Canis lupus familiaris: one gene and its partners. The protein of the gene in region 3 interacts with the protein of the main gene of each other region in a pairwise test. Links are inferred from orthologs where the notes say so. Each region holds a gene or a part of one and is shown on either strand. Other genes may lie near its edges.

Region 1 (10,216 bases), on a different chromosome or scaffold from region 3:
CCTGAGCTTGGAGCCTACAAGAACGGCGGGGCTGAGCACCAAAGCCTTGAATGTAGTGAGCCCAAGGTCACGTGGGGCCTGGTGCCCAGCTTCCGGTTGGGCCCCCTACTATGTGAGGAGGGTTCTTGTCTGGGTCAAATGGAGACAAAAGCACACAAACTAGCCCGAGACTGACCTACCTGAATGCACACACTACAGCTATGTTTTCTCAGTGTCCATTACCTAAGATACAGTGGCATCTTCCAGGCACTAGGCTTAAAAAAAAAAAGTCCTAAATGGCAATGCTGGGTTAATACTGACCCACCCTTATTATCACGCCCCCTACTTCAAAGGCAAGATCCCATTCCTCTTCATAATAGCACTTGTCTTTTATCACATTACACGTCTTATTACATTCCCCTAGAAAACCACCTAACCCACCAGTCCATCCACAAATCTTGCCGGAGCACTCCTACAGACCCCAAGTGGGGTGACTTGCTCTCCTCCGCCAAGGGAGAACTTCCTCATTTACGTGCTGATGGCCGTCTACGAAGCTGGCCCAGTGCCTCCACCGTGGGGCAGGAAAGTATGGGGGCCGAGAGCTCTCTGCTGCTGCATCTGAAACTTGGCCACTCATTAGCTTCTGCAGGACTTTGCCCCCCCCCCCCCCGAGTGTTTCTTCACCTACAAATCGGGTTGTTGATAATTTTCATAATCCACCACTGAATAAACTGTAAAGTGAGCTAAAGTAAGCAAAAGCACTTAGTGTGAGGCCTGGCACAAAGTGCTCGCCAAATGGTGGCTCTTAGTAAACAGGGACCTGATCATATGTGGGGTGGGAGGGAGGGGTAGAGGCAAAAGGAGAGCTGAAACTCAGGAAGATTCAATTCTCACAAAATATAAGAGCCGAGCTTGTGGGGCTTTCTATATACTGCCTTGGGAAGGGGACTTGCAAAAAAAAAAAAAAAAAAAAAAAAGGAAGGGGACTTGCTTCCCCAGTAGTAATCACCTGTCCCTGGCATGCCTGTCTTGGGGGTTAGTGAACAGTGGCCTTCACTGTAAATTTGGTCCGAAAGAAGGAAAACCCAATGGAGTAGTGTGAAGGGTTGCAACCCTACAAAGAGGAAAACAGGGTGTGAGGCCCTGAATCTTGCAGCAAAAAGGGAGAGGCAGCTCAGGAAGGCCAGGGAGCCTTCGATGTCTTACACTTTGCAGATAATTTGTTTTTTGGGGTTTTTTGCCTTTTTTTTTTTTTTTTTTTTTTTTTTTTTTTTTTTTACGAGTTGAAGGCCTGTGGCAATTCTGTGTTGCAATTTTTCCAACGGTGTTTGCTTCACTTTGTGTCTGTCATGCTTTGGTAATTCTTGCAATATTCCCAACTATTACATCTGTTCCAGTGATCGATCAATCACCTCAGATGGTCTCCGTCTGCAGGTGCCACAAACTACACCCACATAAGATGGTGAACTGAATCGGCAAATGTGTGTGTTCTAATTTCACCAACCCGCTGTTACCCAGTCTCCCTCTCTTCGGGCCTCCCCATTCCCTAAGCCCACAACATTGAAATTAAGACCAGTTAATAGCCCCATGATGGCCTCTATGTGTTCAAGCGAAAGGAAGAGTCCCCCCCCCCCCCCCCAATCTCTCACTTCAAATCAAAAGCTAGAAATGAAACTCTGGGAAACGAACAAGGGGCAGTGGAAGGGGAGGTGGGCGAGGGGTCGGGGTAACTGGGTGACGGGCACTGAGGGGGGGCACCTGATGGGATGAGCACTGGGTGTTACACCATATGTTGGCAAATCGAACTCCAATAAAAAAATACCAAAAAGGGATCCCTGGGTGGCGCAGCGGTTTGGCGCCTGCCTTTGGCCCAGGGTGCGATCCTGGAGACCCGGGATCGAATCCCATGTCAGGCTCCCGGTGCATGGAGCCTGCTTCTCCCTCTGCCTGTGTCTCTGCCTCTCTCTCTCTGTGTGACTATCATAAATAAATAAAAATTTAAAAAAAAAAAAAAACTAGAAATGAGGGGCGCCTGGGTGGCTCAGTCAGTTCAGCATCCGACTCTTGATACCAGTGAAGGTCACGACCTCAGAGTTGTGAGATCAGCCCCACTGCAGGCTCCCTGCTCAGCACCAAGTCTGCTTGAGATTCTCTCTCCTTCTCACCTACCCTTCTGCAGCCTCCTCCACTCACATAGATTCACTCTAAAATCTTTAAAAAAAAAAAAACAAAAAAAAACTAGAAATGATTAAGCTCGGAAAGGAAGGCATGTGGAAAGCTAACACCAGCTGAAAGCTAGGCCTCTTGCACCAAACAGCCAAGTTGTGAATGCAAAGAAAGTTCCTGAAGGAAATTAAAAGTGCTACTCCAGTGAACACATTCATAAGATGAAACAGCCTTACTGCTGATATGGAGAAAGTTTAGGTGGTCTGGAGAGAAGATCAAACCAGCCACAACACTGCCTTAAGCCAAAGCCCGATCTAGGGTAAGGCCCTAACTCTCTTCCATTCCATGAAAGGTGAGGAAGCTGTAGAAGAAAAACTGGAAGCCAGCAGAGGTTGGATTGTGAGGTTTAAGGAAAGGAGCCACCTCCAAAACAAAGGTGCAAGGGGAAGCAGCAGGCGGTCCAGAAGATCTAGCTAAGAAAATTAATGGTGGCTACACCAAACATTATCAGTGTGGATGAAACAGCCTTCTATGGGAAGAAGATGCCATCTAGGACTTTCACAGCTAGAGAGAAGTCAAAGCCTGGCTTCAGGGGACAGACAGGCTCTCTCGTGAGCTGTTAAGCTGGAGACTTTAAGTTGAAGCCAATGGTCACTGAACATTTCAAAAATCCTAAGGCCCTTAAGAATTATGCTAAATCTACTCTTCCTGTGTTCATAAGTGAACAACAAAGCCTAGGTGAGCACGCGAATGTTTCCAACACAGTTTACTGAATATTTTAAGCCCACTCTTGAGACTTAACTGCTCAGAGAAAACACTCAACCTTACCAACTGATTAGAGATTAATGTATTTTATGGGAAGGGCGTGAGCCTTTTAGCGTCAAACAAGCAACCCAGAAAAAAATCCACCTGGGTTTAAACCTCAGCCTTGCTTCTTTCTAGTTGCATGAACTCAATAAGGACTGTCCATAGCTGCCCCAGGGTTCGCGGCTAGTGCTGGCATATAACCTAGCAGCTCCAGGCTCTTACGGTGGTCCCAGAAACACTCTCCTTTCTCTTTCCATCTCACCCTCTGAATACCCCAGACAGTAGTGGGCTGTGTTTGGAGTTCCTGGCCAAGGATGACTGAAGAAAACTGGCTCACCTAGCTTAGAGCACCCTAGTCCTCAAGGTACCCTTTGTCGTCTTCTGCTAGCCTCTCAGGTACAACTCTTGGGTCCAGATCCTAAATGTGGGATCACGTTTTCAACTGTGCAAATGGGCACTTACCTTGGGTCCGCTACAACCTGTATTACATTTGCTGAGTTACGAATTCTGGATTCACTTAGGAGGTGACTTGCCAAAAAAAAAAAAAAAAAAAAAGGAGGTGACTTGCCCTAAATTGTCTGCAGAGCCTTACAATATGGCCTTAATAAGCACACTCTTTACCTCTGTGAGGTGTTCTATTGAAAAAATGGAAAATCTAATGCTTTGAAATATACCATGCATCTAGACTTTCAGATCTGAATGTTAAAATGGGTTACCAGTTCCTACAGTGGGCCTCTGCTTCTGCTGGGATAGCAGGCTTCCAGGTTCAATACATTCAGCGGATTCATTAGTGTTGAAAAGAAAAGCATCGGGACATATTTTTTTAGAGGAAATAAAAGAATGAGTGTCAAAAACATCCACGAGCCTCAGAAGCTGTAAATCCATTGATGGAGCGTGCTTTTCTCTTCAAGATTCCCTAAACCAGGCGAAAACAAAAACGCTCAGAAGTAAATGCTGTGTTATTAAGCATTGTGTGTGAACAAAAATAAGGAAACTGTGCCTAGGCCACCCTGGTTAGCTGTTCATCACTTATTTAACTGAACCAAACGCAGATCGTGCTGAGGTCCAAGTCTTGTGCGTGCCCAGGGTGGAAGGCCAGCTAACACCAGACACTTGTTCAACGCCTTTGATCTTGTTGACGGTGGCTGTTTTGCAAGATCAACTCAAATACCTGCCTTGCTAAGACAGTAATCCCTCTCAGACCAAACGTACTCCTAAGACTCCTCAGCGTTATTGGCACTGCTGTTTTTAACCAGTGTAAAAGTACTTTAGATTTTTTTTTTTTCTTCCAGGTTTTCAAAGTGCGTTCTGGGCACGTGTCGTCTGTAGTATTAGTTCATGGGCAGGGATGTTTGCTTCCCCCAGAGAATGTCCCTTTGCCCTCGAATTTATTTTATTCTTCCGTAGCCAGAATATTAGAAGCAAGATGCAGGGAAGAACCTAGATGGACTTTTTTTTTTTTTTTCTTAAACACACAGGGTGACCTGTCACAAGGGCACCCCCTCCTCCCGGAGCGCATGCCTTGGGTCCTGGCCGGGTGTACCTGTAGGATGCTAGTGACGGTGCGCCCCGACCCCGCAGGCCGCTGGAAGACGTTGCGGCTCCCTCACCGAGCACCTCTGGGCGCTGAGCCTGGCCGCGACCTGCCCGGCCCTCCCCAAGGTGCTTGGTGCGCAGGTGCGTCTGCGGCTGGGATGTCCCGCGCCTGGCGCGCCACCACCGCGACGAGCCCTGCAACGCGCCGGCCGGGGGCTGGGAGCCCGAGATGCTCGCGGGCACCCGGCGGGTCCCCGACCTCCGCCCGCCCCGACGCCCCCGCCCGCGCCCTGGGGCAGCGCGTCCCCGCGGCCGCGCGCGTGTCCTCAGACGCACCTGCCCGCCCGGGGGCAGCGCGGCCCCCGCTCCCGCCACCACCCCCCCCCGCTCCCGGCGCCCCCGCGCCCCCCGCGCCCGCACCTACCCACGTCGCCCAGGAAACAGCCGTCCGCGGTGCGGGGCTCCATGCCGCCCTCCCGCTGCTGCCGCGCGCCCGCACACCCCGAGACTCGGGCGCCCGCGACCTGGGCGGGGCTCCGCGGGCGGGGGGCGGGGCGGGCGCCCGAGGGCACCCGGGAGTTGTAGTTCCGCCGCGCCGGGGCCCGGAGCCGTGCGCACGGCGAGCCACGTTGGAGCTCCCGACCCGGCCGGGCGCTGTGGGCTGGAGGGTGGGGGCGGGAGGGCGCCGGCGCGGTGCACGGACAGGCGGGGTCCCGCTGCAGCTCCGGGCCGGGCCGGGCTGGGGTGGGGGGCGCCGCGGAGCTGCTGGGCGCGGTGTACGGCCAGGCGGGGTCCCGCTGCAGCCCCGGGCTGGGGGTGGGGGGGCGCCGCGGAGCACGGCCAGGCGGGTCCCGCTGCAGCTCGGGCCGGTCCGGGGGTGGGGGTGGGGGGGGTCGCCGCGGAGCTGCTGGGCGCGGTGCACGGCCAGGCGGGGTCCCGCTGCAGCCCCGGGCTGGGGGTGGGGGGGCGCCGCGGAGCACGGCCAGGCGGGGTCCCGCTGCAGCCCCGGGCTGGGGTGGGGTCGCCGCGGAGCTGCTGGGCGCGGTGCACGGCCAGGCGGGGTCCCGCTGCAGCCCCGGGCTGGGGGTGGAGGGTCGCCGCGGAGCTGCTGGGCGCGGTGCCCGGCCAGGCGGGGTCCCGTGGCGCTCGAGCTCCCCGCCCCCTTCCCCCGGGTCCCCTGTGTCGGGCGGAGCCGGCGCTCCCTCCCTTCCGAGGCCCGCCCCGGGACTGAAGCACCGCCTTCCGATTAAGTCCGGGGCGGGGCGGGGGAGCCACCGAGTAAGTGAGGTGTAGCCTGTTTTGCTTTTGAAAAGCCAGTCGGGGATCCCTGGGTGGCGCAGCGGTTTGGCGCCTGCCTTTGGCCCAGGGCGCGATCCTGGAGACCCGGGATCGAATCCCACGTCGGGCTCCCGGTGCATGGAGCCTGCTTCTCCCTCTGCCTGTGTCTCTGCCTCTCTCTCTCTCTCTGTGACTATCATAAATAAATAAATAAAAAAAAAAAAAAAAAAAAAAAGCCGGTCGCCCGGCTTGGAAGGCTGAAGTCTGTCGAAGTTGCTGGTGGCCTGGTCACCGGGTTTCTCGGGCCGCCCTGACCCGGAGACTCCACGCAGAAGTTAGTTTGCGCTGCCCTAAGGGGCATCAGCGGGATTTACCTGGGGCGGATATACCTGAGGACCAGTAGGGCGCAGAAGGATTGACCTCCCTCCCCTGGACGACTCGGATCTTTTCCTCCGGTCTAGACCGCGGGCGCTGCATCCAGCGGGAGTTTGAACTCCCTCTGACCAAAGTGCCTGGGGAGTCCCAACCCCAGGCCTGAAATGACACTTCAAGCCGCTTAGCAGTGTGGGTTCGCACCCTCATTGCCACTTGTTGACCAAAATGAGGCTCTTGCATTTTTCTTGCAAGTTTCTTGCATTCTGTATTAAATGCACATTTTAAAAATCTGGTTGCTGTGGGGTGTTATTTTTTCCTATGACAATGCTGGTGTCCTACCTTCGTATTTTCTTTGATTTTTCTTCCTTGACAAAGTTTCATCTGGATCTCAGTATAGAATGTACGTTTGTATACACCCTATATTTTTATAAACCACATATTTATAAATGTATTTATGTCTATATATAGACATGTGTGTATTTCTCAAACATGAGAGAGCAGATATTTCCTAATTAGCTTATTTGGTAAGGTTTTCTCCATTCCGTTGTTTGATCTCAATATTCAGAAGAGTTTTAAGTTCTTATATATTCAGAAATACATACTCCGAGAGTGTTTCCTCACTCTCAGATAGTCAGGATGTATTTCTCCACCAAAAGCCAGAACATACTCTTTTTTTTGTTCTGTTCTGCTGTTGAGACTTTAAGTCTGGAACTTGTAATCTATAGGATCTAAGTTCATTTTCCACCAAGTTGCAATAAAGTTCTGAAAATGTCTAAATAGTAAAAATGTTTCTGCATTAATTCTCTTTTATTGCATTTCACTTTATTGCACTTTGCAGATTTTTTTTTTCTTAACAAATTGAAGATTTGTGCCTTAATCAAGCCTATCGGTGCCATTTTTCCAAGAGCATTTGCTCACTTTGTGTCTTGGCGTCCTCCTTGGTAATTTTTGCAGCATTTCACATCATTTCCAGTGTTAGTAATGGTGTGACCTGTGATCAATAATCTTTGATGTTACCGTTCTAATTGTTTGGGTGCGCCATAAACCACAGCCACCTAAGACCTCAAACTTACTTGATAAATGTGTGTGTTCATCACTCTCCCTCTCCTCAGGCCTCTCTATTCCCTGAGATACAATAATATTGAAATCAGGCCAATCAATAACCCTATAATGGCCTCTATGTGTACAAGTGAAAGGAAGAGTCCCCCACATCTCACTTTAAATCAAAAGCTAGGGGTGCCCCGGTGGCTGAGTAGGTTTAGGGTCTGCTTTCAGCTCAGGCCATGATCTTAGGGTCCTGGGGGCTCCTAGCTCAGCAGGAAGTCTGTCTCTCCCTCTGCACACACGCCCCCACTTGTGCTCAAGCTCTCAAATAAAATGAATTTTAAAAAACCAAAACACCTAGGCCTCTTGTACAAAACAATTAGCCAAGTTGTGAATGCAGAGGAAAAGTTCTTGAAGGAAACTGAAAGTGCTACCCCAGCAAACACACACATGATAAGAAAGCAAACAGCCTTTATTGTTGATAATAAGGTTGCAGAGGTCTAGATGGAAAAGCAAACCAGCCACAATATTCCCGTAAGCCAAAGCCTCATCCAGAGCAAGGCCTGAACTCTCTTCAACTCCACGAAGGCTGGACGTGAGGACGCTGCAGAAGAAAACCCAGCAGAGGTTGGTTGATACGGTTTCAGGAAAGAACCCACCTCCCAAATGTAGGTGTGCCAGGTGAAGCGACAAGTGCTGATGTAGCAAGTGCTAACCCAGGTTACCCATGTAGATGGAACCGCCTTATATTGGAAGAAAATACCCCATCATGAGTTAGGGTTTTCACGTCCTTTGTATAAATGCCCAGAAATGGAATTGCTGGATCATACGGTAAATCTATTTTTTATGTTTTGAGGAACCTCCGTACTGTTTTCCAGAGTGACTGATCCAACAGCGCACAGGGTTCCCTTTCTCCACATCTGCACCAATGCTTGTGTTTTCTTGTCTTTAATAACACTTATTTTAACAGGCTTGAAGTGGTATCACATAGGGGTTTTGATTTGTGTTTCCCTGATGGCTAATGACGTCAAGAACCTTTTCATGTACCTGTATGTCGTCACTGGAAAAAGGACTATTCAGAGCCTCTGCCCAGTTTTTAATCAGCTTGTTTGTTTGTAATTGAATTATAGGAGCTCTTTATGCATTTTGGATATTAACCCCTTGTCAGATCTATGATTTGCAGATATTTTTCTTCCATCCAATACGTTGCCTTTTTACTTGGCTGTTTCCTTTGCTGTGCAGAAGCTTTTTATTTTGGAGTAGTTCCAATTGTTTATATTTGCTTTTGTTACTTTTGCTTTTGGTGTCAACACATCCCCTCCTCCCCTGCCCAAGGAACTTACTGTCTTCGTTTTCCTCTTGCAATTTTATGACTTCAGGTCTTATGCTCAAGTCTTTAATCCACTTATGAGTTGATTTTTGTGTATTTTATAAGAGTGGTCCAGTTTCCCCAGCACCATTTGTTGGAGAGACTGTCCATTCCCCATGGTATATTCCTGGCTCATTTGTAAATTAATTGATTGTACATGCACGGGCTTATTTCTGGGAATGCTATTTTGTTCCATCGATTTATTCATCTGGTTTGGGTTTGCTTTTTATTCAACTCCAGTATAGTTGACAGACAGGTATAGAACATAGGGATTCAGCAGTTCAGGTATAGAACATAGGGATTCAGCAGTTCTACATATTACTCAGCGCTCATCAAGATAGGTGTACCCTTAATCCCCTTTACTTATTTCCCCCATTCCCCCACCCACCTCTTCTCAGGTAACCATCTGCTCTCTATAGTTAAGACAAATCTTGTTTCTTGATTTGTCTTGTTTTTTTTTTTTTTCCTGTGTTCATTTGTTTCTTAAATACCACATGAGTGAAATAATATATTTGCCTTTCTCTGGCTTATTTCACTTACCATTATACTATCTAGTTCCATCCGGGTTGTTGCAAATGGCAAGATTTCATTCATTTTATGGCTGAATAATATTCCATTGTATGATATACATATATATACCACATCTTTATCAATTCACCTATCTATGGACACTTGGGCTGCTTCCATAACTTGGCTATTGTAAATAATGCTGCAATAAACACAGGGTGCATATATCCCTTTGAATTAGTGTGTTTGTATTTTCTGGGTAAATACCCAGTAGTGTGATTGCTGGACTGTAGGTTAGCTCTATTTTTAACTTTTGGAGGAATCTCCCTCCATACTGTCTTTCACAGTGGCTGTTCCAGCTTGCACTCCTGCCAACGGTGTGTGAGGGTTCCCCTTCCTCCACATCCTCACCAACACTTTTTGTGTTTTGTATTTTTTCTTTTAGCCATTCTGACAGGTGTGAGGTGCTGTCTCATTGTGGCTTTTTGCATTTCCCCGATGATGAGTGATGTTGAGCATCTTTTCATGTACCTGTTGGCCATCTGTATGTCTTCTTTGGAAAAATGTATGTTCATGTCTTCTGCCCATCTTGTAATTGTTTTCTGGGCTTTTTGCTGTATTGGTTCTTTATAGATTTGGGGTACTAACTCTTTATCAGATATGTCATTTGCAAATATCTTCTCCCATTCCATAGGTTGCCTTTTAGTTTTATTGTTTCCTTGGCTGTACAGAAGTTTTCTGTTTTCATATAGTCCCAATAGTTTATTTTTGCTTTTATTTCCCTTGCCTCAGAAGACATATCTAGAAAGATGCTGCTATGGCTGATGTCAGAGAAATGACTGCCTCCGTTTTCTTCTAGGATTTTTATGGTTTCAAGTCTCACATTTAGGTCTTTCATCCATTTTGAATTTGTTTTTGCGTGTAGTGTAAAAAAATGGTCCAGATTCATCCTTCTGTATGTAGCTGACCAGTTATCCCAGCCCATTGCATATTCTTTTCTGCTTTGTCAAAGATTAATTGATCATATAGTTGTGGGTTTATTTCTGAGTTTTCTGTTCTGTTCTGATCTATGTATCTATTTTTACTATAGCTTTGTAATTGAACTTGAAGTCTGGAATTGTGATACACCCAGATTTGCTTTTTCTTTTTCAGGAT
Region 2 (10,166 bases), on a different chromosome or scaffold from region 3:
GCAAAGAAATGATGAGGCTGGGATACTTCCAAACTCATTATATAAGGTCAGATACCAAAGTGAGACCAGGACACAGCAAAAAAAACAGAAGTATCCCTAATGAATATAAATGGAAAAATTCTCTATGAAATATTAGCAAACTGAATTCAAGGACACAAAAAGAATTATACACCATGATCAGGTGGGATTTATCTCTGGGATGCAAGGATGGTTCAATATATGCCAATCAACAAATATATCACATTAATACAATGAAAGATAGGGGTACCTGGGTGGCTCAGGTCATGATCCCAGAGTCCTGGGATCGTGCCCCACGTGGGGGAGTCTGCTTCTCCATCTGACACCCCGGTGTTCTCCTGCAGACCTGTCCAATCCAACTGCCCCCAGGTGTCCCTCCAAAGTGACTCCTGTCCTAAGGCACGGTGGAAATAAGCTCATGCACCAACATGCCTACAGTTCCTGCAGCTGAGCCTCTCAGCTGACTGCACGGAGCAAGCCTTGGCTGTTGGTGTGCCCACAGCTGAGGCATATAGGCTAAGTGTAGACAGCTGGACTGTCAGTCCTGTCCACTAATGAAACCCACTGCTGCTGCAGAGGCCTCTCAACAGCGGGCAGTAAACTCTGAGGATGCCACAGCAGGCGGTGCAGCTAAGGGAAGCTAGCAGAGCTGAAGGCAATGGCAGCTCAGCCACAACACAGCCCACAAAGGGGACACCTCTTGAGCACCTGGTTCTGGTTACCATGGTGGGGGGTGGGGGGACTGCACTACAGGGCACCACAAGACCTTTTCTACACAAGGCCACTATTTTCAAGACCAGGAGATATAGCGGATTTACCTAATACACAAAACACAGACACAACGAGGAGACAAGGATATGTCCCAAATCAAAGAATAAGACAAAATCACAGTAAAAGAGCTAAATGAAACAGATAATACTCTTGATAAACAATGCAAAGTAATGGTCATAAAGATTCTCACTGGACCTGAGAAAAGACGGCTGTGACATCATCAAGTATAATAGTATTCACATCATGGAGTGCCAGAGAGAGAGAGAAAAGATAGAAAACTCATTTGAAGAAAAAACAGCTGAAAACTTCACCACTTAGGGGAAGGAAACAAACACCCAGGTTCAGAAAGGAAAGAGAGCCCCCAACAAGGTGAACACAGGAGGTCCACACTGAAACACATAATTAAAATGGCAAAAAGTGATGATAAAGACACAATTTTATTTTTTTATTTTTATTTATTTATTCATGAGAGCTACGGGGGGGGGGGGGGGGCAGAGACATAGGCAGAGGGAGAAGCAGGCTCCATGCAGGGAGCCATGCAGGGAGCTCCACGTGGGACTCGATCCCAGGACTCCAAGATCACGCCCTGGGCTGAAGGCAGATGCTCAACTGCTGAGCCACCCAGGGATCCCGATAAAGACACAATTTTAAAAGCAGAGAAGCAAAACAAGTTACGACGGAAAATCCCATAAAGCTATGAGCTGATTTGTCAACAGAAACTATGCAGGCCTGGGCAGCCCGGGTGGCTCAGCGGTTTAGCACCGCCTTCAGCCCAGGGTGGGATCCTGGAGACCTGGGATCAAGTCCCATGTCAAGCTCCCTGCATGGAGCCTGCTTCTCCCTCTGCCTGTGTCTCTGCCTCTCTCTTTCCCTAAGTCTCTCACTGAATAAATAAATAAATAAAATCTTAAAAAAAAAAAAAAAGAAACTATGCAGGCCAGAAGAAAGTGGCATGATATATTATTCAAAGGGCTAAAAGGAAAAAAAAAAAACAAGAATACTTCACTTAGCAAGGTTATTGCTCAGAAATGAAGGAGAGATTAAGCTTCCCAGACAAACAAAAGTTAAACTGGCCTAATAAGAAACGTTAAGGGGGATTCTTTAATTGGAAAAAGGCCATAACTAGAAGAAAATTATGAAAGGAAAAAATTTCACAACTAAAAACAAACATACAATAAAGGTAGTAGGTTTATCCCTTATAAAACCCATATGGAAGTTAAAACACAAAAGTAGTAAAATCAATTATATCTACAAAATTAGCCAAAGCATTCGCAAAATAAAAAGATGTGAAATACGACATCATATACATAAAATGTGAAGGGAGAGTAAAAATTTAGAGCTTTTAGAATGTGTTCAAACTTAATATAGACTGCAATATATATAAAATGTTATACATGAATCCAGTGGTGATCGCAAATCAAAAACCTGTAAGAGGGCAGCCCGGGTGGATCAGCAGTTTAGCGCTGCCTTTGGCCCAGGGTGTGATCCTAGAGGCCCAGGATTGAGTCCCACGTCGGGCTCCCTGCATGGAGCCTGCTTCTCCCTCTGCCTGTGTCTCTGCCTCTGTCTGTGTGTCCCTCATGAATAACTAAATAAAATCTTTAAAAAAAGAGAGAACAGATTGGTGGTTGCCAGAGGGAGGGATGGGATGGGCGAAGGGGGTAAAAAATTACAAACCTGAAGTTAAAAGTCACTGTGGGTGTAACGTACGACATGGTGACGATAGTTAATAGGACTGTGTGTCATATTTAAAGGCTGCCAAGAAAGCAGACCTTAAAAATGGCTATTTATGTATAGTGATGTATGTTAACCAAGACTTACCATTTTTGCAATACACACAAATAGCGAATCATAATGCTATACTCCGGAAATAAAAAATGTCATGTCAATCATACCTCAAAAAAAAAAAAATAAAAAAAGAAAGAAAAAGAAAGAAAAAGCCCAACAACTCTCAATACGAATCCAACACCGATTTTATTAAGTTTCAAAAGATACAAAGTGGCAATGCAGCACCTACACAGAGAGAGGTTGCTTCAACTCATCTTTGGTATCTTAAGGGCACGTTCGAGGCATTTCCACCCAAACACGGAGTGCCTTCGTTATACCAAATGCAACTGTCACGGAAAGCTCCCCTTCCTTCCCAGTAGATCCCTAATACGTAGGTCCCTAACAGTACTCACCCCCTGCGCTGTGCAAGGATGCGGGGAGTCCCGGCAGGCCGCGGCTCAGCGCCCGGGGCACGGTAGGCGCTCGGATGCTGCTGCTGCAGCTGCTGCAAGCTTCTCTTTTCCTCCTGCAGCTTTTTCTCTGGGACGTTGTCCTAAGCACCTGAGACCTCCCCGCAGACAGCTGCTGAGCTCCAGGTGCTCACAGCCCGCGGGGCGCGGGGGGGGGGGGGGGGGGGGGGGGGGGCCGCAGCCTGGTGACGTCATCAAACGTCCAAATAGCGTGACCCCGGATACACTACCTGGGGTGAACTCTATTTACTCAGGTCACTTTTTCCTAAAAGTATTTTTACTGTCTCAGGAGCCCCGAGTTTTACCCCAACCAAGAGAATTCGCAGCCGCAGGTGCCTGATAACCTCTTGACCCCGCTCACCAGCGTGTCGCGCTGTGTGCGCAGGCGCGTTCTCGCCCCGCCTCTTCCGCCAGGAGCGGGCGCCGATTGGTCCGTGGGATTCGTATAAGACGCTGCGCGCAGGCGCGGGACCTCCTTTCCTCAGCTGCCGCTAAGGTGCTCGGTCCTTCCGAGGAAGCTAAGGCCGCGTTGGGGTGAGGCCCTCACTTCAGCCGGCGACTAGCACCGCGCTCGGCACGCGCCCTCGCCATGGCCTCCGTCTCGGAGCTCGCCTGCATCTACTCGGCCCTCATCCTGCACGACGACGAGGTGACGGTCACGGTGAGTGCGGGCCCGGGCGGGCGTCGGCCTGCGGCCGGCCGCTTTCCGTGCGCTGGCGGGGCGCCCTGCTAGGCCCTTCCGGACGAAGCCGCGGCCATCGGCGTCCCGGCGGCGGTGCGGGCGGCCCACGTGCGTGCGTACGTGCGTGCTTACGTGCATGCGGGCCCCTGTGCGTGCCGGCGGGCGGTGCGGGTGGGCCCACGTGCGTGCCGGCGGGCGGTGCGGGCGGGCCCGCGTGCGTGCGTGCCCACGTGCGTGCTGGCTGGCGGGGCGGGCGGGCCCACGTGCGGGCGGGCAGACATCCTGACCCGTTTGCCCGGACGGCCTCCCCGGGCCAGGCTGCGGGATGCGGATGGAGCGCACGTCAGCTTGCTGCACCTGCCGCCCTGCGAGGTGCCCGGCACGCGGGGGCCGCTGCGTCTCCGGTGATCTAAGGGTCATGAGAAATTTTTCGTTTTAAATAAACGTACGCGAAATACAGACACAGTATTTGGTGCGGTTAAACGTGGTTTCTGGACACACGTTTTGAGTGATTTACTTTCAGTTGTAGTGGTTTGGAGACGTTTCCGAAAACTGCGCTTTGCTTGCTCGTGGAATGCGGGTTTTTTTTTTTTTTTTTTAACTTTTTAAATTATTTTTTTAGGAGGATAAGATCAATGCCCTCATTAAAGCAGCGGGTGTGAATGTTGAGCCTTTCTGGCCGGGTTTGTTTGCAAAGGTAAGGAAATGGCAGTAGAGTGATTTGGAGAAGCAGACTTGGGGAGATCAGGGATTTACAAAGTCAGGTGTACTTGTAACACGAGAACGGCTCATAGTTCCATATCTAGAGTCTAAAATTTGTCTTTAACTTCCTTTTTTTTTTTTTTTTTTTTTTAAAGATTTATTTATGAGAGATGCAGAGAGAGAGAGGCAGAAACACAGGCAGAGGGAGAAGCAGGCTCCATGCAGGGAGCCCAATGCAAGACTCGGCCCCGGTCTCCAGGGCCACGCCCTTGGCCGAAGGCAGGGGCTAAACCGCTGAGCTACCCCACACGTCCCCCTGTCTTTTCCTTGTTTGCAGTCTGGTTTCTTTTTCCTTCTGTTCTGAAATCATGACACACACACATATATATGTACATGTATACATAAATGTTACACACCCACCGGATGACTCCTTAAAAGAGTCACCCAGGAGGTAATACTGCCTATGCCCTTCCATTCTTCTTTTTAAATACATAACAATTTTATTGATCCATCAGAAAAAAATAAAAGTACAGTGTAACTTGCATCCCCACTGGGGCTAAATTAGCCCTTAAGCACAGATTATGATTCTTAAGTGCTGATTCTTCTCAATGTCCAAAGTTAATTTTTAATCAAGGATTTCTCCTGGAAATAAGATTTTAAATCGTTTTTCATTCGCATTAGGATAACCATTGAGATCGGCGTCCTGTATTATATGTAAGAAGAGGAATATTGTATGAGAGCTAGGACTCCCATTAGTTCATAGCTAATTTGTGCGACAATGAAATGGTAAAAACAGCAGTGACAGGCCCCAGAGATGAGTGTCCAACTGCCCCTACAGAGACATGGTCATGAATTGGTGTGAACCAGGGGCAGAGCTGTCCCTTATAAAATTGTCAAACTCTTTAACCTCATGAACATTTAGATCTCAGAACCGGGTTTCATGGAAATTGGATGTAGTGGCCCTTATTTTGAACATTGACTGTTGGGATATATATCAAAAGATCAATGAAGACAAGATTCTTACCCAAGGAACTTGGTATCATTTTCTATTACATATTATTTAGTCTCTGGTAAGAGGCAATTAGCTTTGTCTCTCCAGGTTGTGTCCTCCAAAGAGCTTTGAATGATTGAAAACATTGTACTTTCAATAAAGGTACTCCTCTTTAGTAAAGTCCCTGGACTTCGCAGTCTGAAAAATTGAATTCACTCTTAAGATGTGGAACTGGAAAGAATCTTGGTTTGAGTATTTAAGGAAGCTTGAGTTTTTTTGCCAACAACTGAAGCCAGCATTTTGCGGCCAGTTTTTCTCCTCTATAAAAGGAAGGAATTCAGTTACTCTAAGATTTTAAGCTTGAGTAGGTTTTCTTGTGATTAGTTTTTAATATAGCTCTGTGTCCCTAAGTCCTAGGAAATCTCAGCAGACAAAATGTCACTGGCAGATTGCAGCAAAGGAGAAGGAAGGGCAATGTAGTGTTGGGGATTGATTGCTGTCAGTTCAAAAGGGAGGTAAAGGTTACCTCCCTTTAGAGGTGGGAGGTTTGTAACAACAAAAGGCCAGAACTGAGTGTAATCTGTTTGCACGTGTGTTGCAGGCCCTGGCCAACGTGAACATTGGGAGCCTCATCTGCAATGTAGGAGCTGGTGGACCTGCCCCAGCAGCTGGCGCTGCGCCAGCAGGAGGTCCTGCTCCTTCCACCGCTGCTGCCCCAGGTAGAAAACTTTTTTGGTATTGGAGGGAGGAGCGTGGAGATTAAGAGCAATCCTGTCTGTAATACTTAGTTTGCTAAAAGAGTAGACGATAGAAATCCTAAAACCAGGGACATAGTTGGAAGTCTTGGGTATTTTTGACCATGTAAATTGAAGGGCCTGGAGCTCGTTGGAGTTTAAAATACTGACAAGGTGTGTTATTGTTTTTGTTTTTTAGCTGAGGAGAAAAAAGTGGAAGCCAAGAAAGAAGAATCTGAGGAGTCTGATGATGACATGGGCTTTGGTCTCTTTGACTAAACTTTTATAAGCTGCTCAATAAAAAGCTGAAGTCCTGGTTGCTGTCGGTTTTTCAGTTGTTTGAGGATGTTCTGTGTAAGGGTGATCTCATTTCTGCAACACTGGTTTTTAGCCTTTATTGGTATGACGCCAGCTGAGTTTACCCCCCTGCCATCACCTCATGGTGAGGAATAGTACACCAGCCAGGTGCTGCACCAAGAATGTACCTAATACTGCCTCTAGAACTGCATGGAGAGGTAGGAGAAGGGCAGATGCCTTGTCAGGGTCACCTTGAGTTCATGATAACCAGGTCTGTCCCTTTTGACAGGAATAAGAGTCAGTGGTAGTGGTGGTACAATCAAGGCCTCTTAAATCCCAAGTATAGGGGATCCCTGGGTGACTCAGCGGTTGAGGATCTGCCTTCGGCCCAGGGTGTGATCCTGGAGTCCTGGGATCAAGTCCCACACCAGGCTCCCTGCATGGAGCGTTTCTCCCTCTACCCGTGTCTCTTGTCTCTCTCTGTGTGTCTACAGAATAAATAGATAAAATCTTAAAAATCCCAAGTAGGGATCCCTGGGTGGCGCAGCGGTTTGGCGCCTGCCTTTGGCCCAGGGCGCGATCCTGGAGACCCGGGATCGAATCCCACATCGGGCTCCCAGTGCATGGAGCCTGCTTCTCCCTCTGCCTGAGTCTCTGCCTCTCTCTCTCTCTGTGACTATCATAAATAAATAAAAATTTAAAAAAAAAAATCCCAAGTATAATTCTGGCTACTGGCTACAAATTTTTGAGCTATGCTGAACCATCTGAAGTGGAATACTGATATATCCCTGGGTTTATAATTCAGCAATACTGTGAAGGAGTAGTGGAAATTCAGGTTTGAGTCCCCATTTACAGAGACTAAAACTAATTCAAACCTGTATTTGACTTAAGTAGGGTTTAGGGAAGGGGGTGGCTGAGCACTGGTGTGGAGACTGGTTCACTTTGAAATGTCAGAGGAACCCCTATTTGGACTTATAAAAAAGTCCTCAGAGCAATTAGTGCCAGGCATCTGAACATCTAACCCTTTCCTCTGTCTCCCAGTTTTAAGAGAGACCAGGAGTTGATGAAAAGACTTCGTAGCCCCAACTGTCCTCCAGTGAAAGATGTATAAGACCATTAGTGTTAAGTTACACCACCACATGGGTAAGTAGCTGGTGTACCTTACAAAATTGAACACCTAATCCAGCAGTTCTGTTCCTATAATTACCCAAGAGGAAGTATGGACATCTGGGTGCATCTCTGGGAATGTTAAAAGCAGTGTTTGAAAGCAAAAACCTCAAAGATCCATCAACCAGAAAACCAGTGATCCCAAATTATCAGCAGAGAAAGTGAGCTATGGATATAGAAGAATTCTTAAGGTTTAGATGTTACTGGTATTCAAGTTTTGGAGTTTTCATGTATTAGAATCCTTTGAGCATGTGAGGAATGGGTCATAAAGTGATTGTGGGGGTTCCCAGATGGTTAGGTAGAGCATGCAGCTCTGATCTTGGGGTTAAGAGTTCTAAGCCCCACGTTGGGTGAAGAGCTTAAGTACTTAATTTTCCTCCATCAGCTAATAGTGCTGTGCTGATCTCAAGCATGTCCTGTCCTCTGCACAACAATCCCATGGTAAGACCATGTCATGGGTCAGAGGTTAACTTGAGGTAAAGGCTAGTAAATGAGTGGAAGGATTCAGACAGGCTCCGACTGCTCCTCTCCCGGTGCCTCTGCTCCTTTCTCCTGTCCTGTGTCTAAGGACAACACCTGCCTCACTGGGTTCTAGAGATCTGAGATGACAGGAATTGTGCCTGGTGAGCCCTGAAGTGTCAGAAGGGAATATGGACACTTAGCCAAGGAAATATTTTGAACGGATTAAAGAACACTTAAGAAGATAAAGGAAAACTGTATCTAGAACAGCTGAAAATTAAGTGGTAAATTGGGATATAAGTATCAAGTTCAGTTATCCAAACTACAATGAAAATGTTTTCTGTAATACTCAAGTGGTAACATGGCCTCATGGGTGGGTCTAGCTTTCGAAAAGAAATCTTTTAAATGTAAAAATCTAAATACCTTTCTAAAGAATGATATTCAAACAAGGAGATCCACTTACATGTGTAGAGATGCTAACATTCATTTGATTTTGAATTATAAAGTCTGCCCAGGAGACCCTGGGTGGCCTAGTGGTTGAGCATCTGCCGTTGGCTGAGGTGATCCCGGAGTCCTGGGATCGAGTCCCGCATCGGGTTCCCCATAGGGAGTCTGCTTCTCCCTCTGCCTGTCTCTGCCTCTATATCTTTATATATATATATATATATATATATAAGTCCGCCCAGTTATACTCCCCTTTTAGTTTCCCTGACTCTTAATTTCCTCTGCAAAATGGGAATAATACCTAGTTTATACTGGGGGATGAACTTGCCCATCAATGTTTGCTGGTATGCAGATGTTATTTCCCTTCTGTGTAAGGTACAAAAAACACAGCTGGTATCCCTGGTTCTCAGAATCCCATGGTCCAGCAAGCCTAAGCCTTTGCCCTTCAAACCTCCTCCCTGCCAGTCATTTGCAATCAGGCAGCAGCTTTGGTTTCTCATGACTGGTTTTCACACTACTGATTGTTCACCAAACATACTTGCTATTTTTTTTTTTTTAAGATTTTATTTATTCATGAGAGACACAGAGGGGCAAGAGACACACAGGCAGTGGGAGAAGCAGGCTCCATGCAGGGAGCCCGATGTGAGACTCGATCCTGGGTCTCCGGGATCATGCCCTGGGCTGAAGGCGGCGCTAAACTGCTGAGCCACCGGGGCTGCCCCATACTTGCTATTTTGTTTAAAAAGTTCCATTGTTCCTAAGACTCTGTTCAACTCTCTTTTGGCCACTCAGGGCATACCCAGGTCCATGGCTGGCTCACCCTTCCCTTTTTAAGTATAATCTTGCATCAGCAAGGAGCCAGGATTAGGTGTAGGGGAGAATTTTAGGAACAGACTTGCTCACTAACAAACCATCTAAGAACAACAATTTTTAAAACAATCCATATTGTCACCGAATGTGTTGCACAATGGGATAAAAAAAAAAAGAAAATCCAAAGCTCCTGTCAACTGTTACACTTTTTTTTTCTTCTTTCTTCTAAAAATGAGAGAACTACACATGAAATTCTAAAACCACCTTTTGGAAAAGAAATACTCTAATTAAAGTGAAAGAATTCAAAATATTTATGCAACAAAACAACTTGGAATATTGCTACAAATTCAAATAAAGTATGTCAAATCCTTCCTCCCCGTAATTTGAAAGAACAGATACAGTAAAGTTCTGAGGGAACAGCGGGAGCCAGGTGTTCATTGGCTTGGTTGAATAGTGCTTTATAGTTTAGAAGTGATCTTGATGGTTTTCCCATTCTGAACTTTACCATGTCAGGAGAACTTAATTCACCCTGTTTGTACACCAGACTTGCTTGGAGAGTTTGGCTGCCTGCCAGGTTTGCGCAGCTAACGTAAGGCAAAGCTGGGCCTGCCACCTCGGTCGTCTCCAGTAGCTCTACCACCACACAGCGTCCCCTCCACATGCACTTTAAGGTACAGTGATGAGCCTTTTTCCTCTGTCCCCATAAAAGCCACGTCTCCATCTTCTTATCTTTGCAAACAAGACGGGATAATTCAACGTGAGGTAGACATGGGCCACTTTCAAGAGAGCTTTGGTATTTTTAGTCCTTCTGGAGCAGCCACGAGGTGGCCCTCAAAGTCGGATCACAGACAGCA
Region 3 (10,205 bases):
AGATGACTGGATCAATGCACTCATCATGATCTTAGAACAATGTAATACTGGACAATGACCAGAGATATGTTACAAAAAGACTCTCCAACCAGCCTGGGATCTACTGAAAGCTCTTTGTCATGGTTATTGCCTCTGGGATTGCTGCCTGTGCTTTACTCTCCTCTCTAGAGCCCAGGAGAAGGTGTGGTCTGCCATGACGTCCACCTGCTCCTCTGGGACATTCTTACTAACAAACACTCAGGCCACCAGAGTCCCTGCCCACTGAGGATCTTCAATGTCAGTCATCTCCCCACCCACCCTCGTGAGTTCAGAGAAAGTGCGAAGCAGCAGTCCCTTGCCAAGAGATGGAAAAGCTCAACCAACAAACCTAAGACCCTTAAGGACAGTTTTGACCTTTCTATTATTTTTTATTTTTTAAAGATGTATTTATTTATTCATGAGACACATAGAGAAAGAGGCAGAGACATAGAAAGACAGAGAAGCAGGCTCCTCACAGAGAGCCCAGTGTCCCAGACCCAGAATCACGCCCTGAGCCTAAGGCAGATGCTCAACAGCTGAGCTACCCTGGCATATCTATCCTTTCCTTTTAAAAGCAGTTTTAATACACAGAGAAATCTAAGATGATCCTATCAATACTCGTGTTTTACCTTGAGTAAAAATAGACCCTTAGGCGCAGCTTTAACTTTCCCAAGCACTGTGACATCATCTGGTGTCCAGACTGTGTCACTGGCCTTTCTAGGAGGGTATTTCACACTGCTAGATATTTCAACTGTCTAAAATGCCTGTTCCACTCCCCCACTCCACTCTGGGGAGAGTACAAGAACACAAGCAAGCCCACCTCTAGTGTCCCTCACTTCCTGTCATCACAGAGCCTCAAAAAAAGAGGGATAAGGGAAAAATCTCAACCGGAAGTGCTTTCAGAGAACCAAAGACAAACAATATGACAAAGTTGATTGTTATTGTCACCCAGTCCAGAAGAATAAAATCTTACTCAAGAAGCCAGTTTCAGTCTTGTATACTGCTTATGATAAAACATTAACTGGGAAGATAAGGCAGACTAAAAATACAAATGTATACTTACTTGCTAATCTTTGTAGGTCTAAGATCTTGTCTTGAATCTATCATTGGACGGCTGAGTTGTCTTTCATATACCACACCCATCATGCATGACCTGTTTTCCAGTTCAGGTTTTTAGGTTTTTTGTTTGTTTGTTTGTTTTTTTTAAGATTTATTCATGTATTTGAGAGAGAGAGAGCAAGAGCGTGCTCATGCACACATGCAGGGGATAGGGGGAACATGGGGGGAGGGGGGCAAATCTCCAGCAGACACCCTGCTGAGCCAGACACGGGGTTTGATCCCACAACCCTGAGATGACCTGAGCCAAAACCAAGAATCAAACGCTTAACTGAATGAACCACCCAGGTGCCCTCTCTGGTCCAGGTTTCTATAAAGAAAAACGAAAACCTGAAAACATTCATGAAGTGATCTATGTGCAGAGTCCTTTTAGACTTTTAAGACTCTTCTCCATCCTTCGCAGTTTGCTTATCCATATAATTGAGCAGTAATTTCTTTTAATGACTTGAAATTATTGAGTCATTCCAAAGAATTTAGAATACTCACAAAACCATTATTTTTGAACTCAAATCTCACATGCTTATATCATATTTAATTACACTACATAATTACAATAACAAGTAAGATGAACATACACAAATACAGGAATAAATACAACTGACTCTATGTAAGCACAGGACTGATTGGGTTGGGGGTGTATATGAGACCCAGTGGCTCACAGAATAACAAGGGTATTCAGTATACCAAGCTGGTTTAAATGGAGATTGGGTAAGAGACTGTCTACTGTGTATCAGTAGGTTCAAAGTACAGTAATAAATATGTTATCATGAATGCCCTAAACCTAAAGGTTTTAATTTATCAAAATGTTGATAACAATTAGTAAAACTTTGAAGTGGGGGGAGTTTCCTGCTATTGATTCTTGTCTACTCACAGGAAAAGCAGTCCAAGGTCTGACGGAAAGGAACACACTCTGTTCATGCTGTTGGGCCTGTTCTTCTGTTGCCCCCTCTAGACTCTAAACTCCCTATATGTAACAGTATCTCAATAAACTTGCTCTGTAAACTTGCCAACTTGCCAAATATGTTCACACATCCTAACCTGGATCAGTGTTTCAACTGTCACTGCTGGCATATAAAATCTTCTGGGGCTGAAAAAACAGAATGTTCGAAGGTTTGATTCCAATATTTTCTATCTCTTTCTCTTTACATTGTATGTATGTTTCCTGACACTGGTTAGTTAAGTTTATTAACCAGGGTCTCTTTATTCTTACATTACTATTGTATTCATGCTAACAGTATTCTGTAAGCTATTCTATCTTGATTAAAGCCATTGCTTCCCATTAAAAAATAAAATTGGGTTGAATGTCCTATTGAATTTGAATTTCACATTCCCACAATGTGTGGCAGTTAATACTTCCAGTTTCTGGCACTTCTATTGAGAACATAAAAGTTCTCCCGGAACTAACAAATTACTTCCCTTCTAACATAATTATGTAATCTGAGAGCTGAACGGCACCCTAGAGATTATTTTGTGGTCCAAAATCCCTCCCAATTAAGGGATCCCATCAAAAAGTACTCAACTTTTTTGGGCAGAAAGGGATATTTATCTTTAAATCTCACATTATAGAATGCTGCACCCATAGTAGGCTCTTAACACATACTTGTTTAATTGAACTGAACAAGTCTAAAATGGGTGCATTTCATTAATTTTCTTGTCCTTTCTGGGCTTTAGCTGTAACATCCACCGAATCTGTAATTAAAAATTTGCATGAGGGATCCCTGGGTGGCGCAGCGGTTTGGCACCTGCCTCTGGCCCAGGGCGTGATCCTGGAGACCCGGGATCGAATCCCATGTCGGGCTCCCAGTGCATGGAGCCTGCCTCTCCCTCTGCCTATGTCTCTGCCTCTCTCTCTGTCTGTGCGTGACTATCATAAAAAATAAAAAAATAAAAAAATAAAATTCAGATTATTTTTTAAAAATTTGCATGAAACAAATAAATAATAAATAAAAATAAATTTAAAAATTTGCATGAATCTTCTGCTCATTAACCAATGATCAAAAAGAAATTCAAGAGAGAAAACTCCACAATCAGCCAAATGTCTTAACATTAAGTCTGTTAATGTTAGTAAATAACAAAACTAAGAAAAAATAGAAAATCAAGTCTTAGTTTGCTTATGATCTATGAAGTTTCCAATTTATCCAAAATACTCACATGTTCTCAATTTCAGTATGATTTTTTTAAACAAATAGTCTTGCATCATTCATACAACTAAATTATACACCCTTCTACTTATAATTGGGGTGCTCACAGACTTAACCACAGTACTGTAGTAAGACATGTTATTATGCTAATTAATTTTCCCTCCAGTTAAAACAGACTGTGATCCCATCTGATTTCCTGTAATATGATATGAAAATGAAAAGAACAAAGCCTCTGGAGCAGTAAACACCACCAAAAATTTTACTTTACTCAAGTATATATTCCAAAACTGCATCATTCACAGCATGGCCCTGCTTAGTACCCCATTACAATGCATCTGTTTTGGGGACTTTTAAAATATATGATAAAATATATGATAAAACACGAAGTATACATTTCCAAATTCCCTCTCCTTCTGTTTTGCTGAAAGGGAACACACACACACATAGTCCCTCAACAGCACAATTACTGCTTGACTAATTTTTTTCAGGCAATAATTTAAAGTCCCACTTCCTCCTAAACATCTCTGGACAGCAACTCTTGGCAATCCATCTGTCTCTTTCATCACAGCTTCTTTTCATAACTAACGGGTCAAGTTCCTTTCCCCCCATTTCAACACGATGCACTGTACTTGCAGCCCTGCCACTATAGCCCGCTGCTGAATGCCAGAATATAGCATATTGAATTTCACTGTCCTTCATTGTTTCCAGTTTAACTGCCATTTTACCACCATGCACAGGAGAGAAACGCTTTCCCACAGGCATCTTATGAATTTCCAAAGCAGCTACTCTTTGTGGATTTACAAAAACGTTTGCCTTCTCTAAATTCCCTTTATCACCACAAAAACGGCTCTGGCAAGCTGAGATTTTCTTTTCTTTCTTTCTTTTTTTTTTTTTTTTTTCTTTTAGGTACTCCATGCAAAAAAGAAACTGATTCTAAGCATGTCCATTTTGCTAGCAAATTCAATCCTTAAGAGTTTCCGATAGGGCAATGTCAGGGCACAGATCTTAAACATGGCTTTTGGGCTTCCCAATTAAAATGAAGTATTTTCAGGTCATAAAGATTCTCTTATCGAACGTCCTTTCTTCTCAGCTACACCAGAAAGGCTACCCAGCGCATTGTAAAATAAACAAACAACTGGCTCTGGCGTCTGTACAACGCCCTAAATCTCCCCAACCACCCCCATGGGCTCACAGACACACGTAACCCCTCGGCCACCCCCAAACCTGCTCCGGTAGTGGACTATTTCTCTGGCACAAAGGGCCGGCCTGCGCCTCGTGCACGGCGGCCTCTGCACACATGTGCGGGCTGACAAGTGCGGGGCCGCCCTTCCTGGAGCCGACGCCGGAGGCCCGGCCCCGAGGCCACACGCTGTCCCGCACCCACCGCCTTCTCCCGGCGGCCCCCGGCCCCGTGACAGGCGGTCGGCTCCCACGCTCCCCCGGCCTGACCCGTGCTCAGGCCGCGCGGGGCCACGCTCGGACCCGCTGCCCCTCCGCCCACCGTCCGTCCTCTTTCCTCCCTCCTCCGCTCCGGCTCAAGGAATTCCGGCGGCACTTCCTTCGGGCCGGGAGGGGCAGTCCTGCCCGGGGCCCGGCACACCCCCGGCCCGCGGCCGCGCCCCCCGCACCTCGGCCGGCTCCGGCGACCCCCGGCCCGCCCGGCCGGAGCCTCACCTCCTCCTCGCTCTCGCTGCGGAAACACAGGCACGCGGCCCGCTTCTTGTAGCCGTCGCCGTCATAGGTGCGGGTCTGGTTCGACTTGAGCTTCATCATCCTCCGGGCCCGGGTGGGGGTGCGGTGCGGGTCGCGGGAGTCGAGGGTGGGGAGCCCGCTCCGGACGGCGGCGCGCGCGCGCGTCCCCGGCTCGGCCGAGGGAAGCAGGGAGGGGGAGCCGCTTCTCCGCTACACGGCTCGGCCGCTGGCCCGCCACGGCTGCCTCATTCCCCCCGGCCCAGGCCCCGCGCCGCCGCCGCCGTCACGGCTGCCGTCGCTGCTGCCGCCACGGCCGCCGCCCCCTCTGCCGCCGCCACCCCCGACGACGACCGCGCCGCCATCTTGGGCGCGCTGCGTCAGCGGCGTAAGGCCGCGCGGGCCTGCGGGACGGCCGCGCGCTCGCAGCGCAGGCGGCGTCCGGGAATCGCACCCTCCCAGTCCGCGCGGCGTAAACGAGCGTCTGGAATGAAAGGGCCGTGCGAACGGAGGCGGCCGCCACGCCGGGAGCGGAGGGGTGGGGAAGGCGGGGCGCGCGCGGAGGAAGTCGGGGGAGGGCGGGGTGCGGGCGCGGGGTCGCCCGGGGCCGCCGAGAGGTGCCTCTCTAGCCTCGGGGTCGCGGAGGGGGAAGCGGGGACTTGCCCAAGGTCGGGCCGCCCGCCTTGGCCTTGCGGGTTCTCTGGGAGCGGGGAAGGGGAAGGTTTGGAGGAAAAAGCCGGATGCGGTTAAACGCTGTGGAGCGTCCACGGGATTTACCCAGGATCGGGCACTGCGCGGCCCCGGGCGAGAGGAGGCTGGAGGGAGGGGCGTTGTGCACAGAGCCTGGACCTCCAGAGCGCTGGGAGTCCTGAGCACCGGGGCACCAACGTATTCATCCCGCAGCCCTTGACGGGTGCAAAGACAGATGCTTCCTGTTAAGGTAAACAGGAGGGCCAGACAAGGAAGATACATGTGTATGTGCTCTACACACATAATGCAAATTGTAAAACATCCTTATTTCTGGCACTAAACGAGGACTTTATAGTGTGGACGTCAGATTCTCCAGAGAAAATATATAGCAAGACACAGGAGCAAGGGAAAATGAAATATAACCTGTGAATATTCCCAGCAGCCCAGACCAAACATAATACCATGCCCATTCCTTGAACGTGGTGTAAAACCTGTGCGGGATTTGTCTGTGAGTTGCTTATTGCCCTTATTTAATTTGCTTGTATTTAGCACATAAAAAAATCAGGTTTTGAAACCAAGCCTTTGTTGGAATCTCGGTTACATGTTTTATTTGCTTCTATTTTTTGTCTGGCAATTAGTCACTTAATACATTGCAAATAATATCAATGGCATTTCACCTAATCCTAGCCACATAAAATGTGGAATTTCAGTTAATTTGGGTCAATCTTCATGCAATAGAATTCCCAAAATCTTGGTCATTTTGGTTGCTTTTCTAATTTTCTCTTCTGCCATTAGGTCTCTAAAAGGAAAGAAAAAAAAAAGTTCTGGCTGTAGAAATCCTGTAACATGATCATTGTCAAAATTTTGAAAAATACAGAGGGCATAAAAAACTAAATCATGTATCTTTGAGCACATTCTATAGAGATCTGTAGCCTGTCCCCCCCCCCCCGTCTTTCCCCTTATGTTATCTTTTTTTTAAAAAAATACCTTTCTAATTACTACCTGATAGCCCATCATAGGGATGACCATCAATTATTTTATATTTTCCTCATTGTTAGAAATTTAGATGGTGTCCTCTGTTTCATTAGAACAGTAATGAATGTCCCTGTATATAAATCCTTGTCCCTATTTCAGATATTCCTTTAGGATGAATTCCTAGAGGCAGATCAAGGGGGTAGGAACATATTTATGGCTCTTGCTACCTCTTGCCAAAGCCTTCCCAGAAAAGTTGTCTGAGTACAATCATTCCAGCAGCTAGACAGCTACATGGTACTATCTGCCACTTTATTAGGGTTGAGAGAGCAGAATTGCAAATGGTATTCCAGGTCTCAGTATACCAGGGTAAGCCTTTGAACATGCTTCCCTGGTGTCCAGAAGGCTCTAGGCTCTTCTTCCAATACCCTCACCTATTCCATTATCCCTCCCCACGTACCCAGAGAAGAAGCCAAATTATATTTATCCTTTAAAGCTCAAAAGTTGGGGATCCCCCGGGGGGCTCAGCGGTTTAGCACCTGCCTTTGGCCCAGGGCGCGATCCTGGAGTCTCGGGATCGAGTCCTGCGTCGGGCTCCCAGCATGGAGCCTGCTTCTCCCTCCTCCTATGTCTCTGCCTCTCTCTCTCTCTCTCTCTCTCTCTCTCTATGTCTATCATAAATAAATAAAACTCAAAAGTTCCCTCCTTCTGACTGCATAACTGCCTCTATGCTTCCTACTGGCCTGAGTTTGTCCTGCTTTATCACATTGTCACATGGCATTGTCACTTTCTTTTTTGCCAATCTCATATTTCAAATGTATTGAAGTCAGAGTCTGTGTCTCACTCATCCTTGCTTATTTCACTCAGCAATTTTCCCAGGACCTAACAGAATCAACCTTGAAAACATTTTATTAGTGAAAGAACAACTACTGCCCGTCCAGAACCTGATCTTGAGTATAAAGCTTAATCACTTGTCCACAGGAACACCCCACACGACACACCTAAAATCTGGTCCTCTGAATGAAGATCACATAACATTATCCTGGCCCAGCATGTCAGAAATCATCTGTAATAACTTTTAGTGTGATCTTGGGTAAAATGTTAAACAAAATACAGAAAATTGTTTTGTTTTTTTGTTTTTTTTTTTTAATTTTTATTTATTTATGATAGCCACACAGAGAGAGAGAGAGGCAGAGACACAGGCAGAGGGAGAAGCAGGCTCCATGCACCGGGAGCCCGATGTGGGATTCGATCCTGGTTCTCCAGGATCGCGCCCTGGGCCAAAGGCAGGCGCTAAACCGCTGCGCCACCCAGGGATCCCCAGAAAATTGTTTTTCACAAGTGCCTTACTCTGTCTTGTTCCTTTAACATGCCTTTCTCTCCTCCCTCCCAGGACTACCTTGTCCATCCCCTCAAGTCCCCCAGGAGCACCTACTGGGTCTGATCTTTGCTCTTGTACAAGTTACCTATTAATGCATAACACATCTCCTCAAAACTTAGTGGCTTAGAACATGAATCAGTTATTATTTCTCATGATTTCTGTGGGTTAAGAATCCTGGAGTGGCTTGACTGAGCAGTCCTGCTCTGTGTCCCTTATAAGGTGAGCAAGCTGGTGTTGGCTGGTCCCACTGTCATCTGAAGACTTGACGAGCTGCAGGACCCGCGTCCAGGGGGGCTCTCTCACATGGCTGACAGGTAGAAGAGGCTCTGTGCCCTTTAATGTGAACTTCGTAGGGCTACTTGAGCATCCTCACAACATGGTGGTCAGATTCCTCTAAAAGCAAACAATACAAGACTCAAAAACTGAATGAATTGCAATGCCTTATATGAACTGGCCTTGAAAGTCACACTTTGTTAGTTTCACAGCTTTCTATTGACCACATTAGTCAGCCTGACTTAGTGTGGGAGAAGATTATACCTTGTACCAGAAGGCAAGGATCACTGGGGTCGGGACACCTGGATGGCTCAGTGGTTGAGTGTCTGCTTTCAGCTCAGGTCCTCATCCCAGAATCTGGGATCGAGTCCCGCATTGGGCTCCTTGCAGGGAGCCTGCTTCTCCCTCTGCCTATGTCTCTGCCTCTCTCTCTCTCATGAATAGATAAAATCTTCAAAAAAAAAAAGAAAAGAAAGAAAAAATCACTGGGGTCCATAGTTAAAGCTGCCTGTCACACCTCATATAAAATTTACCTGGTCTCTAGTTCATTCATTCATTGCCCATATATCCCAGGCAGTGTACCTAACAGAGGGGAAGGAGGTAAGAGATAATGCTTGAGAATAGGCTACCCTTCCAAGGATGATAGTGGGTGATAATAGATTTAAATAATCTTTTTTTAGAAAGGATTTTATTTTTAAGCAATCTCTACACCCAATGTAGGGCCTAAATCCACAATCCTGAGACCAAGAGTCACATGCTCCACCAACTGAGCCAGCCAGGCACCCCTCAAATAAATTAACAAATACATAATTCTAAAAATGTTCAATTTTCCAAAAGTCTTGTAGGTAAAGATCTAGTAAATAACATTTCAAGTCCCAGGGCAAGTCTAGGGAAAATTTTTAATAGGATTACAAAATTGACCATATTTACTCATCCTTTCCATAGGGACAGTCAAATTTTGGCCCATGTTTTCCATCTATTTTGATGCTACTATATTTATCACTATGTGATTGTAGCTCATCTCACCTGACCAAGCTTTTTTCCCTGTTTGCTTCAAAAGTAGAATACCATCAGAGAAAGAGAAACATTTAAGGAAAATCTAACAGTTATAAATATGAAACAGCTTCAAAATACATGAACTGGGGTGCCTGGGTGGCTCAGTTGATGGAGTGCAACTCTTGATCTCAGGGTTGTGAGTTCAAACCCCACATCGAGTATAGATTACTTAAACAGCAGGGCAGCCTGGGTGGCTCAGGCAGCCTGGGTGGCTCAGCGGTTTAGCGCTGCCTTCTGCCCAGGGTATGATTCTGGAGACCTGGGATGGAGTCCCATGTCGGGCTCCCTGCATGGGGCCTGCTTCTCCCTCTGCCTGCGTCTCTGCCTCTCTCTCTCTCTCTCTGCCTCATGAGTAAATAAATAAAATCTTAAAAATAAATAAAAAATAAATAAATTTAAAAGAATTAAAATAAAATAAAATAAAATACTGAAGTATACATAGAACATGCACCAAGATGGACCACATGCTTGGTGTAAAACAATACTCAATAAATTTTGAAAGATCAAAATCTGAGGTGCCTGGGTGCCTCAGTTGGTTAAGTGTCTGCCTTTAGCTGAGGTCATGATTCTACAATCCTGGGATGGAGCCCTCCATCGGGCTCCCTGCTCTCAGGCTCAGCCAGGAGTCTTCTTCTCTCTCTCTCTCTCTGTGCTATCTCTGTCTCTGTGTCAAATGGATAAATAAAATCTTTGGGAAAAACATCAAAATCTTACAGAATATGTTTTTTTGGAAAAAAACACTTAAAGAATAACTAAGATATCTTTAAAACTCCAAATATTTGTAAATTAAACATTCTATTCCTAAATAACCCATAAAACAAAGAGGAAATCACAGGAAAAAATTATAAGGTATCTCTAAATGAATGATA

What was found.
Region 1: the proteins of NUDT3 (region 3) and ASB13 interact in a two-hybrid assay, tested with the Homo sapiens proteins (2 studies listed by BioGRID and IntAct). The link is inferred for Canis lupus familiaris from reciprocal best matches to the Homo sapiens genes NUDT3 and ASB13.
Region 2: the proteins of NUDT3 (region 3) and RPLP1 interact in a two-hybrid assay, tested with the Homo sapiens proteins (2 studies listed by BioGRID and IntAct). The link is inferred for Canis lupus familiaris from reciprocal best matches to the Homo sapiens genes NUDT3 and RPLP1.

What each region holds. Positions count from the first base shown.
Region 1 is NC_049223.1:29,320,406-29,330,621, reverse strand, and holds the start of ASB13 (ankyrin repeat and SOCS box protein 13), read right to left. Parts: upstream 5,042-10,216; 5' UTR 4,956-5,041; coding exon 4,913-4,955; intron 1-4,912. UniProt on the Homo sapiens protein: May be a substrate-recognition component of a SCF-like ECS (Elongin-Cullin-SOCS-box protein) E3 ubiquitin-protein ligase complex which mediates the ubiquitination and subsequent proteasomal degradation of target proteins.
Region 2 is NC_049251.1:33,775,216-33,785,381, forward strand, and holds RPLP1 (60S acidic ribosomal protein P1), read left to right. Parts: upstream 1-3,479; 5' UTR 3,480-3,615; coding exon 3,616-3,687; intron 3,688-4,330; coding exon 4,331-4,405; intron 4,406-6,002; coding exon 6,003-6,120; intron 6,121-6,334; coding exon 6,335-6,414; 3' UTR 6,415-6,454; downstream 6,455-10,166. UniProt on the Homo sapiens protein: Plays an important role in the elongation step of protein synthesis.
Region 3 is NC_049233.1:3,860,875-3,871,079, forward strand, and holds the start of NUDT3 (diphosphoinositol polyphosphate phosphohydrolase 1), read right to left. Parts: upstream 5,341-10,205; 5' UTR 5,049-5,340; coding exon 4,950-5,048; intron 4,900-4,949; exon of another isoform or gene 4,500-4,899; intron 1-4,499. UniProt on the Homo sapiens protein: Cleaves a beta-phosphate from the diphosphate groups in PP-InsP5 (diphosphoinositol pentakisphosphate) and [PP]2-InsP4 (bisdiphosphoinositol tetrakisphosphate), suggesting that it may play a role in signal transduction.